Linked DNA regions of Ovis aries. The protein of the gene in region 2 interacts with the protein of the main gene of each other region in a biochemical or structural test. Links are inferred from orthologs where the notes say so. Each region holds a gene or a part of one and is shown on either strand. Other genes may lie near its edges.

Region 1 (6,065 bases), on a different chromosome or scaffold from region 2:
TTTCATTCCTGCCCTTTACAACCTTCACTGCCTTCCGAGTGGTTTGGCGTGAATACTTTTGCTCAGGTATCATGTGGCAGCTCACCCCGACCCTACCTTCCTCTGTTCACACCGTTTTGTCTTTTCTCATCCTCCCCCAACCCCATTTTTCTGCCTGTTTACCTAAGACTTCTCTAAACAGTTGATCCTAGCCTCTCCCCATTCCTGCAGATCAGATCTAGTCTCTCCTTCCTCTATGCTCCTGTAGCCTTTGGCTCTTAAACAGACTTTCTTATGGTGCTTATCACATTCTAGCCTTGAGAAGAGCAACTGTATCTTGTTTGTTTGCGATTCCTCCTCAGCACCTGGCAGAGTGCCTTGCATTCACTGGACACTGTTGTGAATTAAATTAATTCAAATGATCTCGTACTCTTTTTTGAATGCCTCTAAAACACAAATATTCTGGAGCCTATGCCATTTCTAATGTTATTTTCTAATGGGAATTTTCTAGTTGGATTTTTTTGTTAAGATGTTAAAGTCTCAATATCAAATTCCCCCGTTTTTGAGGGGGTGGTTAGGACCAATGGTGGCAACTTTCTTTTACATGAGTTCATCATAGCATGTTAAGAACCAATCTTGAAATACTATTTTTTCAAATGACATAAATTTACAGAAACACTTACTTTAAAAATGATGTTTGTATCTTATTGTCCATATAGAGATATAGATCCTTTATAAATAAAATATTAGCAGTGTAAATAATGTTATGTATTTATACAAAATAAATTTACTGAATCTACTTTCAGTGTGATGATGTCTTTTAAATCATTTTTTATAGTCATGCAGTTAGAGATGAACCACACTGATCTGTTTTCCTGAATCATAGTTAGGGGAAGCTCTTTTTCACCAACAAAACATATTCCCCGTTTGGATGGTTTCTACATCGAAATGCTACTGTGACCTAAGCAAATTAATTGGCCATAAAGGGGATGACCCCAAGCATCACTGTGGGTGTGCATATTGGGCACTGAGAATAGAGAAACGGTCTCAGATTTCCTTTCTCCATTGGACCTATAGGTAATATACTTTCTTAGCTTTCATCTTTGGGACAGATGTAAGGAGTGGATCCCAGTTTGGGTGGATGGAGTAGCTGTTGTTCAGCTGCTAAATCATGTCCAACTCTCTGGGATTGGATGGACTACAGCACGCTGGGCTCCCATCCTTCACTATCTCCCTGAGTTTGCTCAGTTCATGTCCATTGAGTCAATAATGCCATCCAACCATCTCATCCTCTGCTGGCCTTTCTCCTTTTGCCTTTAGTCTTTCCCAGCATCAGGGTCTGTTCCAAAGAATCGGCTCTTCACATCAAGTGGTCAAAGAACTGCAGCTTCAGCTTTAGCATCAGTCCCTCCAATGAACATTTCAGGGTTGATTTCCTTTAGGACTCGACTTCAAGGATGGATGGAGGAGGGGTGATTTAAAACCACTAATTACACAACAAATGATACTAGAAGGAAGAGGGTGACTTCTAGAGAATTCGACATAAAGAGTGTTTTCACTTGTTAGGGGTTGTTGCATGCCCCTTTTGTTGCCCAGATGCCTAGTTCCAGGGGGAAATGACAGAGGAGATTTTCTCCTTATCAGTGCACCTTGTTTTTCCTGACTTGGGTTTCTGGCCTGAATGCGTGACTGCTTTTCTAGGGCAAATCAAAACTAAGACATTAAAAAATAAATAAGACCTTTTGAGGACCCCTGCAAGACCAAACCACACAGCACTCTGCAAACATGGCGGCTCTTGCTACCACATCTTGGTGCTTCAGGGGCCACTATCAGAATGGGATGTTCTGTCAACACTTTATTTCACAAATCTGTATTTACCATTAGGCACTGTCCCATAAGCTTGGGAATACACCAGTGAACAAAACAGACTAAAGCCAGTCTTCTGAAAGTTTTCATTCTATGTGATTCTACTCTGGCTCCATTTAGCTACTATGTTATTTACTCACAAAAGTTGATCAGTAAAACTTAGCCTTACTCAACAGGGCTATACTCCAGCTTATTTAAGGGAATTTGAAATATTTTATTGGGATCTATCCAGTTTTGTTAAGTGTTCTAATAAACCATTTAGTCTAAGGCAAGAGCCTGTGACAAAGCCCAGTTTCCCACAAATTAGAGACCGAACTGTCTAAAACTGATTAGGTCATCTATCTTGGCTCCAATCTGAACAGTCTCAAAATTTCCTTTAAGGATCGCCTTTTGCAAACAGGATGCTAAGCGCACGTGTCTTCTCCAAGTCCCAGATAAGGGAAGCGCAGCTATGCCGGAGCAGTCTCCCTCCTACGCGATAGGGGGCAGTCGACTTCCAGAGACTGGGTTCTCTCAACCCTCCACCCGGGGAACGTCACGACCGCCTCTCGCCGCCTCTCCACTCCACTGGTGCGCAGGCGCGGACGGGAGCGCGCACCGAGCCGCTGAGGGAGGGGGTCAGGAACTCTGACCCCCCCCCGCCCCCAAATACACAAACCCAGAAAGCTCCGTCTCCACTTTTTTAACCCTCCCCGCTCCAGCTTTTTCCAGTCTGTTTGCCTGGAGGCCCCCTACCCCATCCCGTCCCAGCAGCCGCCGCACAGGGCTGCCCGGTTTACGCCCAGCGTAGGACGCCACTCGGCAGAGAAGCGCCGGTAAGAAGGGACGGGTGAGGAGAAAAGCGGCCGCAGCGGCGCCCGGGAGGAAGGCGGGGGGCCCTGGGAAGGTCCCTTCCTCCCAACTGCCAACGGGCGCGCCCCCAGGCCCCTCAGCAGCCTGAGGCTTCGGCCGGCAGAACCCGCTCTTCGGCATCCGCGGCGCGCTACTCGGGGCGGGCTGGGAGAGCGGCCGGAGCAGCGGGGCCGAGTGCGCGGGGCTCCGAGAAAGGCCGAGGCGGGAGCCGGAGCCGGGAGCGGTGTCCAGAGCCCGGAGCGGGGCCGTGTCGGTGGGCTCACGAGGGAGTCGGCGAGCGGCTCGGCGCGCACGGCAGCTTCTCCCGCGGCACCTCTGACCTTTCACCTACAGGGAACGCTTCCGTCTTGGCGCGGGCGCCGCTTCCCCAGCCTCCGGGAGCCGCGCTCTGCCGCCGGGCCCGGGGTCGGAGTGGGCTCTAGCGCCTGCGGAACGTGGGAGAGGCCGGCCTGGCGGCGAGCCGAGGCCCGGATCCCTTTTACCACGAGCCTCTGACTTGTTTCTGTGTTTTTACTGGATCGACGGAATGACGCTCTCTACTTCACAGCCGATGGCGCGGGAGCGGCCGCTGCCTTTGGATCTCTCTCTTTAGAGAAAGAAAAGGCAACGGCCGAATGTCCTCACTGCAGTGCGCGTCCAAGCTTCCTGCATCTCTTTTGTTAAGAAAGTCTGCTTCCAGCTCTTGCAGATACCGTTTTATGAATGGCAAATGTTGCCAGGTTGTTTTGTAACCTTCGCTATATAGGTCAACTGTTAAAAAATAATTGCTGGAAAGGAAAAACAAAGAGGCTTGAAATTAAGGCCTTTAGGGTTTTTGTGCCTCGGAACTTAATGGACCTTCGACTTTGAGGGTTTTAGAACAATGCCTGCTGTGTGGTTGGTTTTAGATTTTAATTGTATGTCAGTTGGGTAGATGTACAATAAAGAAGGTATTTGTGTTTATTTTTAAAATGGATCGCAGAAAATGTAATTTCATCATTCTTTGTAGGAGCATTTCAGCTTTTTTAAAGGAGATCAAAGGCAGAAAACATTCCCAAAATATGTACTCTTTGTGTGTGCTACACAATATAATTCCTACTATTGTTGGAGAGAAGAAAGGAAAGAAATCGTATATAAGAAAGGATTAATAGTTTATATAATCATGTACCTTTTTTGAGTCATAGAACCCTCTGCAACCTTTTTAAATCTTTTATGAAAGCCATAGACTGTCTCTAGAAAAATGCACCCTTGCATAAAATTTTGTAAGTAAATAGAAGTTTCACAACTGAGTTTTAAAGATGGGAGAATTTAAATGAGGGAGGAGGAGCTTGGAGTTGTACATTGGGGAATAAAGAACATTCCAGTTTGTCCTGAAGGAGTCCCCTCTGGGACTGGTGAGATGAAATAGGAAGATGGGGAAGTCAAACTATAAAGGAATGCTCCTTTGTGTCTGCAGTGGCAGGCGTGTTTATAAGGACTTAGTAAATACTGAAAAACTACCAGGAGAAGGACTGAAACTTTATTCTTTGACCGTTAAAGAGGCACTGATACTTATGAAACAGGAGAATAAGGATGTGTTTCAGTTCTGTAAGCATCCTGAGATTTTGCTGTTGGTCAGAAGAGCTGACACAGATGATTCTTGCCTTCTAGGGGTTTTTCATAGACGCAAAGTTGAATATATTAAATATTCATCCAGGAAAGTTATTTCTGCCAGTTGCTGAAATTATACTGAAAGGATTCTTAACCTGAAGACCTTGGGCTGGCCATAGGAGAGTTTACGAACTCCTTGAAATTCAGCATAGCATATATCATCAGTTGTAGAGTGAATGAATGTGAACCTGTTTTCTTGTGAGGGAAGCCTTAACTTCTATCAGATTTTCTTTTATTTTTTATTTTTGGTTGCGCTGGGACTTTGTTGCTGCACCTTGCTTTTTCTAGTCGCAGTGCCCAGGCTTCTCACTGAAGTGTTTTCTTGTTGCGGAGTGTGGGCTGTAGTGTGAGCTCAGTAGTTGCAGCACACGAACTCAGTAGTTGTAGTTAATGGACTTAGTTACTTCATGATGTGTGGAATAGTCCCAGACCAGGAATCAAATCCATGTTCCCTGCATTAGCAGGTGGATTCCTATCCACTGTACCACCAGGGAAGTCCCAGATTTTCAAATCTATGTTTGACCCACCCTACCAGGAAAAAAAAAAATTGTTTTGCATCATATTTTCAAGCATTTTTTGACTGCTACACAAAAAAAAGGTTTTCCATCATGACTTAACACAGATTAAACTGAAATAAGTCCTTACCCTCACTATACTTGATGCAGCATTTTCTATTCTAATTTCTTTCTTTTTTAAAAGAAGAAAATTTTGACCTACTATATTTCCCCATCCACAAGTGGCTCACAGCAAGGAGTTTGCAAAATACTACTTTGTAACAAGAGCCTACAGTTGGTTGATGGGAGTAGGGCTGGTGGAGAAAGAAAATGGACTGTTCATGATGTACTCAAAGAGCACAGACTTAAAATTGTGAACCTGAATGGAAGGAGGATGACACCACTGTTGTTGTTCAGTAAATAAATCATTTCTGACTCTTGCAACCCCATGGACTGCAGCATGCCAGGCTTCCCTGTCCTTCACTATATCCTGGTGTTTAGATTTATCTCCATTGATTCATTGGTGGTATCTAACCATCTCATCCTTTGCTCTACCCTCTTCTCCTTTTGCCTTCAGTCTTTCCCAGCATCAGGGTATTTTCCAGTGAGTCGGCTCCTCGCATCAGGTGGCCAAAGTGTTGCAGCTTCAGCATCAGTCTTTCAGGTGAATATTCAGGGTTGATGTCCTTTAGGATTGACTGATTTGATCTTGCTGTCCAAGGGACTCTCAAGAGTCTTCTCCAGCAGCACTTTGGAAAGCATCAATTCTTTGATGCTCTGCTTTCTTTTGGTCCAACTATCACATCTGCCCATGACTACTGGAAAAACCATAGCTTTCATGGATCACAGCCTTGTCATGGTGAAAGGGCTTGCTTGCATAACTCAATAAAGCTATGAACCGTGCCATGAAGGGCCACCCAAGACAAATGGGACATAGTGGAGAGTTCTGACGAAACATGGTCCACTGGAGGAGGGAATGACAAACCACTGCAGTATTCTTGCTATGAGAGCCCCATGAACAAATTCAAATGGCATCACTGAGGGTATATTTTTTCCTGTGGGGAAGATACATAGACATGAGATTGAGGTAAATGTGAAAAAAGAAGAATCAGAGGCAAAAATCTAAGACTGTATGTCTTCTGTATCTTAATTAGCTCTAGAGTAGTAAAGGCAGCATCCTCCTGTTTTTTTGCTTTGTCCCTGAGGTTGGTAAAAACGTTTATCCTTCAGTGCCTGTTTCAAATG
Region 2 (5,882 bases):
TCCTGCCACTGCCACTGTTCAGGCTAAGTTATCAAAATCTCCTCAAATTTCAATGTATGTACTTAATGCTTACCATCATGAAAAGGACTATTACATCTCAGGGTTGGTGTAAGAATTAAGTGGATATACCAGTAATCCTCAGCACAGCAGAGTAAATTACTCAAGAAACTGTAGCTGTTGTAGGAAACTATAGGATCAACAGCCTCATTTCTTCAAAAGATAAATTCAAGGAATTCCCTGGCAATCTAATGGTTAGGACTCCATGTTTTCACTGCTGGGGGCCTGGGTTCAATCCCTGGTCAGGGAACTAAGATCCTTCAAGCCAAGGCATGGCAAAAATAAATAAATAAATTCAAGGGCGAGAAGGAAACATTAAGGGTTAAAAGTCTTATGAGATGGAGTGTGGACCTTGTTTAAATCCTAATTTAAATAAATCAACTGAAAAAAAGAAAAAAATGTGAGACAATTGGAGAAATTTAAGTACTGACTGCATATTTGATGATATGAATTACTGTTGATTTTTCAGGTGTGATGAATACTATGCATTTTTTTTAAAGAGTATCATTTGGAGATATATAGTAACATATTTATAAACAAAAGGGAGTGACATCTCAAATTAGCTTTAAAATAACCTAACGTGCGGGGACACAGATGAAGCAAGATTAGCCATCTGGTCTAAGTGCTGCAGCTGGGTGATGGATAGACGGGGGTTCACTGTATTTCTACTTGCAGAAATGTTTAAAATTTTCTCTAATAAATATAAAGTTTAAAAATGAATGGAGCAGATGGCAGCTGTTGTGGTCACTATCTTTTAGTGGATGCAGACTAGAATGGAAGCAAGGATCATGGCTATCTTTGTTGGCCACCTTTTCCCCACAAGACCTAACTCTGAGCTGACTTCTCATATGAAATAAGCTCGACATAAACGTGATTGTACCTAACACTCTCTTGCTTTTTAAAACCCTCCAATGACTTCTCCCTACTCTAGAAGTTAAAAATCCCAATTCATAATAGGGTTGTTTATTTTTTAAAGACCCTACCTATCTCTTTAGACACAATTCAGATCACTTTTCAGATATTGTGGGTGGCCTTTTTTCTGTTCCTTAAATAAGTCACACTCTGTCCTGATACAGACCCTTAGGGCATGTTGTCCCTACTTCCCATTCCTCCCCTCATTCTCCATCCTCCCAACTATCTTTCACCTAATTACATCCTACTTTCTTTCGAACTCAGCCCAATCTTCATTACTTCCTCTAGGAAGCCGCCATTGACCTGCCCCAGCCCAGGCTAGATAATTCTCCCATGTCTGCCCTCTCTTAGTCTGTCATGTACCTCTCTTCTAGAGGACTCAGCACAAGGGCTATATTAAAATTGTGTTGGTATTATTTATCATTATATCCCTAGCACTTAGCATAGGGCCTGGCCTAGAGCCAATAACCAATCAATATTTGTTGAATAAGCAAATTAGTAAATGATGATTCATTGACAAGTATCCCCCCGCCCCCCCACATATCTTCCCACTGCTGCCATAAGACCTCACTTGAGTATTCTCACTGAAATGCCTGGCATCAAGGTGCCTGGCATCAAAGGTCCCAGTTCTCCCCTTACCAGTCATCACCCACATTGAAGGCATTAAGGCTCTTGGTAAAGCCTTGCATATTGGTGGGGCTGACTCTCTGCAGGAAGTCAATGTAGTCCTCAGAGTGGAAGCGGCACATGTCATGCTGGGAGGCCTGGTAAGGCTTGAAGACCTTGAGAGGGAAACACAAGATAAAGTCAGGCAGGGTCAGTCCTACTCACCCGGCTGAAACTGACCACACTGAGCCCAGCACTGGGGACTGTCTAAAACCACACACAGCAGTCCCCTTGTCCCTCCTCTCCAATCCTTGTTATTCTATGAGACAAAGGTCCGTGAAAAAGAAAGACTCTGATTAGCTTGGGAGTTTCTTATGATCAAGCCCTCTAAAGACCACTGGGCCTGCCTTTTCCTTCATACCTCCAGCCCAGCCTTTTCTCCCTTCTCAAACCTTAACTCCCTTCACCTGCCCTGTTCCCTGGATCTCCTATTCCTGATTCTCTTCATACTCATTTCCCCTGGGTGCTGACTCTGTCCTCTCTCTCCTCTGAGTTCTTCTTAATTTTGAAATGAAATAATATGGGACACAAAACAACCTTCTAATTAAAACTCAAGATGCTAAGCCAGAGATTTATTATCTCTTGAGAGGGTCACACACTTTAGAAACTGGACAAGAGCAAAAAATTTTCTCTCCCCAGAAAATGCTCATAGGCACACATAGGCAAACAATTTCGAGAGTCAGAGATCCAGGCATTAACATCACCTCAGTCATTTCTATGATCAATTCACTAGTCTGTGTCTCAGCACAAGCAGTGGACACTCATTCATACTGCTGGCTAATCCCCTTTGCGATCCATAAGGGCCGTATGTTATGATCACATATCACACTGCTATAAATTCCAAGCCAGGGACAGACAGGATGTGTACACAGGGGGAGATGGAGGGATGAGTAGTAATTAAGTGGAACTCTGTGTGTGGGCGGGGGTATTCTAGATTGAAAAGGGAATATCCAGGACACCTCCTACTGTCCTCCACACACACATTTACACACAGGGCTGCAAAGTCCTCCCTAGAACTCTAGCTTGGCGGTGGAGAGGTGGAAGAGGAAAAGGGGTGGGAAATGAGGGTAAACCTCATATCCAGATACACTGGGCCAGCTGCTTTCCCTTCTCTGAGGCCACAGAACTGTCCTAAGATTCAAGGGAGGGAAATACTCTGCGTCTGCAAACCAGCTCCACTCCACCCTAACCGTAGGCCAAAGTTTGGTCCACTTAAGGTCAAAAGGTGGCCGACCTAAAAACTAACTTTCATTAAGTCAGTGGATGCATCCACCAACACTCTGCATATGGGGGTGCTCCTTGTTCCTTCTATCCACCTCCCCCCTGCCAGGGCTGGGTCACTCTTGATGCATTCAGTGCAGCCTACCTATCCCTAAGGCCGCAGCTCGTCCCCACCCTCAATCCCCAGGAGAAGCCGTGAGACTCACGATCATCTTCTTATAGAGGCCGTAGTGCAGGACCAGACTATGAGTCAATGCCAAGCGATGAGGCTTCATAGGGTGACCAGCCCCTGGGGGTGGGAGAAGAGAGTTCGTCAGTACCCATCCCTGGAGTTGTAGGCCCGGCTTCGAAACCTCCGCGTCCCGAAATCCCTCGCGTGCAATGTTGCTCTCTCACCGTAGTGGAAGTTGCCCACGTCGGGGTCGTAGAAATAGGCCACAGTCTTGGCCATGGTGCCGGCGGGACCAGGCCCCGCACCTCCGCCGCCAGCCTGGCCGCCTGCCCCACCCCCGGCCTTGCGTGCTGCGTAAGCACGCTGCCTGCCTCTGCAGAACCAGGAAACCCAAGCTCGACTCCCGTAGACCACGCCCAGGCCACGCCTCCTGCGGAGTTCTGCCCTCGGCTAGCTCCGCCCTTCTAGGTCTGGGGCGTGAGAGTCTGGGCTTGGCCGGAGGACAGTAGCATTGGTCCTAGGATGACAGGGCCATTTCCTTCCCGGCGGGGGTCAAATCCTCGGGAAGCCGAGCCATCCTGTCCAGCTACCTGTCCCAAGCGGGGCGCAGGCCGTGTCGCCTCTCTAGGAGGCTCCGGAGAACCGGCCACGCTGACCCTCTCAGGTGCAGAAAGCAAGCTTCCCCCGGCCCGCTGGGGAAGATTCCCAGCTACACATCCAGCCGGGGCATCTGAGGGCTGGAGCCAAGCCAGGCGTGCCCGATAGACCGGTGGAGAGCGCTCTCGCCTGACTGCCCGTCCTCCTCACCCGGACCCAGACTCGGCACCGCACCGTCACCGGGCGGCAGTGGGGGGGCTGCGCAGTCACGCGCGCACCACACTTGCGCTCAGAAGCGCGCAAGGCTCTCTCTCTCCGCCCCGCACACCTGGGCTCCGCCCCCTGGTCCCCGGCCGGCGATCGAAGGCTTTTGGAGACCCAGAGCGGCTGCGGCAGCGCCCCCCTTCTCCTTCCCTTTCCACGGCTGGAGTTGTCCGGAGCCTGTCGCCGGTCCCAACCAGCCCTCATCCCTTTCCATCCTTCCCTCCCCCCACCCCTGCCGCGGCACGGGTATCTGCAGCCGCAGCCCGGAGCCCTTGAGGCGGCGAAGGGGGGAGGGGAAGGAAGCAAGGGATGAGCGCCGGGAGGGCGTCGGGGGCCCTGAGCCGGACTAGGACGCCCCTGGAACCGGAGCCGGAGCCGGAGCCAGAACCAAACCACCGGTACCGGGTGGGCCAGGTGGTCAGGACGGGAGAACCCGAAAGGCGGGAGGGGGTGTGTGTGAGACAGTACAGGAAGGGGAAGGGGCTGCGGAGGCCTGACTCAGGCCCGCGCAGAAGAGATGTGGACGCTGACTCAGGCACTATCCTTGTGCCGGCCGCCTGAGAATTCCGTCCCATCTCGCTCTGCAGTGTCCTTGGGAGGGACGAAAGCTCAGGACAGGCTGGAAACGGGGAGCTCTGGGCGTCGGGGGAGCGGGACCAGGGTCGTGGAAGAGGGCCTGCGCAGCCGCCGTCTGACACCCCTGGCCCGGACCAGCACCCCTGGCACGGACAGCTCCTTGGTTGGGTAGGGGGTGGGGCCAGACCTCAGAGGCTTGTCTGTCTTGAATCCTGAGGACGGCATTCCTAACCCTCCCCCAATCCTTAGCTGCAGCCCCCTAACTCCAGGAGCCGCCCTGGCCCGTGCTCACCCGCCAGGGCCTCATGTCGGAACCACAGCCTGACCTGGAACCGCCCCAGCATGGGCTGTACATGCTCTTCCTGCTTGTGCTGGTCTTCTTCCTCATGGGCCTTGTAGGCTTCATGATCTGCCACGTGCTCAAGAAGAAGGGCTACCGCTGCCGCACCTCAAGGGGCTCGGAGCCTGATGACGCCCAGCTCCAGCCCCGTGAGTGAACAGCCTAAAACCTGGCTCAATCACCTTCCTCCTTCACCCTTCTCCCCACACCTCTTCCTGGCCAACAGACCCAGGCTAAATCCTGACCTAGCCAACAGACCCAGGCTAAATCCTGACCAAGATAGGAGGCCTAGTAATACTTTCTTGAGTCAGCAAGTGGGGTGCCACCACCCTGAAAGCAGGGCTAGAGAAGGCACCGTGGGTGGGAAGGGCCCACTGGTGGTAGTCCTGGACTCCCACTGATTTTCTCTTTTCTTCCCTGGCCCTTGAAATGCTAAGGTACAGAATGATGCAGTTTGGTAAAGGGGTGGGTCGAGCAATAAGCCATAGAAACCACCAGGTAACGTACCTTCAAAGTTGATCCATTTCCCACTGCCTCACCAACTTCTTTCATCCTTCAGCTGAGGACGATGACATGAATGAGGACACAGTAGAGAGAATTGTTCGCTGCATCATCCAAAATGAAGGTGGGTGTAGGCTGTCCCTTTGTCCCCCAGCTCCTCGACTTTCTCTTGCCCTTGCCTTTGCCTCCACTGACCCCTTCTTTTCCTTCTCCCCTCAGCCAACGCTGAGGCCCTGAAGGAGATGCTGGGGGACAGTGAAGGAGAAGGGACAGTGCAGCTGTCCAGGTGAGCTGGAAACATGGGCCAGTATGATTTAGTATCCTCTCCTCAAGCACATTCCTCTCCCAGTCTCCTTGCATGATTAGGGTGACAGGGGAGAGTAAGGCTGAATAATGGACAAGAAGAAGAAAGTTTGGTAAAAATCCTGAATCCTCCAAACCACATCTCTCCTTTAGATGTCATCAAGCCTAACCTTCATCCCTTATGCCACTCCCCTGGGTTAAACATTGCTCACTTTTTAGCCCTGGGAGGGAAAACAACACATGGTCAGTAACATCTTCATATTCAGTTTATTA

Evidence for each region.
Region 1: the proteins of HDAC3 (region 2) and NR2C1 form a complex in vitro, tested with the Homo sapiens proteins (4 studies listed by BioGRID). The link is inferred for Ovis aries from reciprocal best matches to the Homo sapiens genes HDAC3 and NR2C1.

The regions. Positions count from the first base shown.
Region 1 is NC_056056.1:131,266,148-131,272,212, reverse strand, and holds the start of NR2C1 (nuclear receptor subfamily 2 group C member 1), read left to right. Parts: upstream 1-2,406; 5' UTR 2,407-2,660; intron 2,661-6,065. UniProt on the Homo sapiens protein: Orphan nuclear receptor. Binds the IR7 element in the promoter of its own gene in an autoregulatory negative feedback mechanism. Primarily repressor of a broad range of genes.
Region 2 is NC_056058.1:50,383,309-50,389,190, forward strand, and holds the start of HDAC3 (histone deacetylase 3), read right to left. Parts: upstream 3,362-5,882; 5' UTR 3,308-3,361; coding exon 3,253-3,307; intron 3,146-3,252; coding exon 3,063-3,145; intron 1,752-3,062; coding exon 1,609-1,751; intron 1-1,608. Other genes in the region: RELL2 (RELT-like protein 2), read left to right, coding at 4,771-4,954, 5,365-5,430, 5,526-5,592. UniProt on the Homo sapiens protein: Histone deacetylase that catalyzes the deacetylation of lysine residues on the N-terminal part of the core histones (H2A, H2B, H3 and H4), and some other non-histone substrates.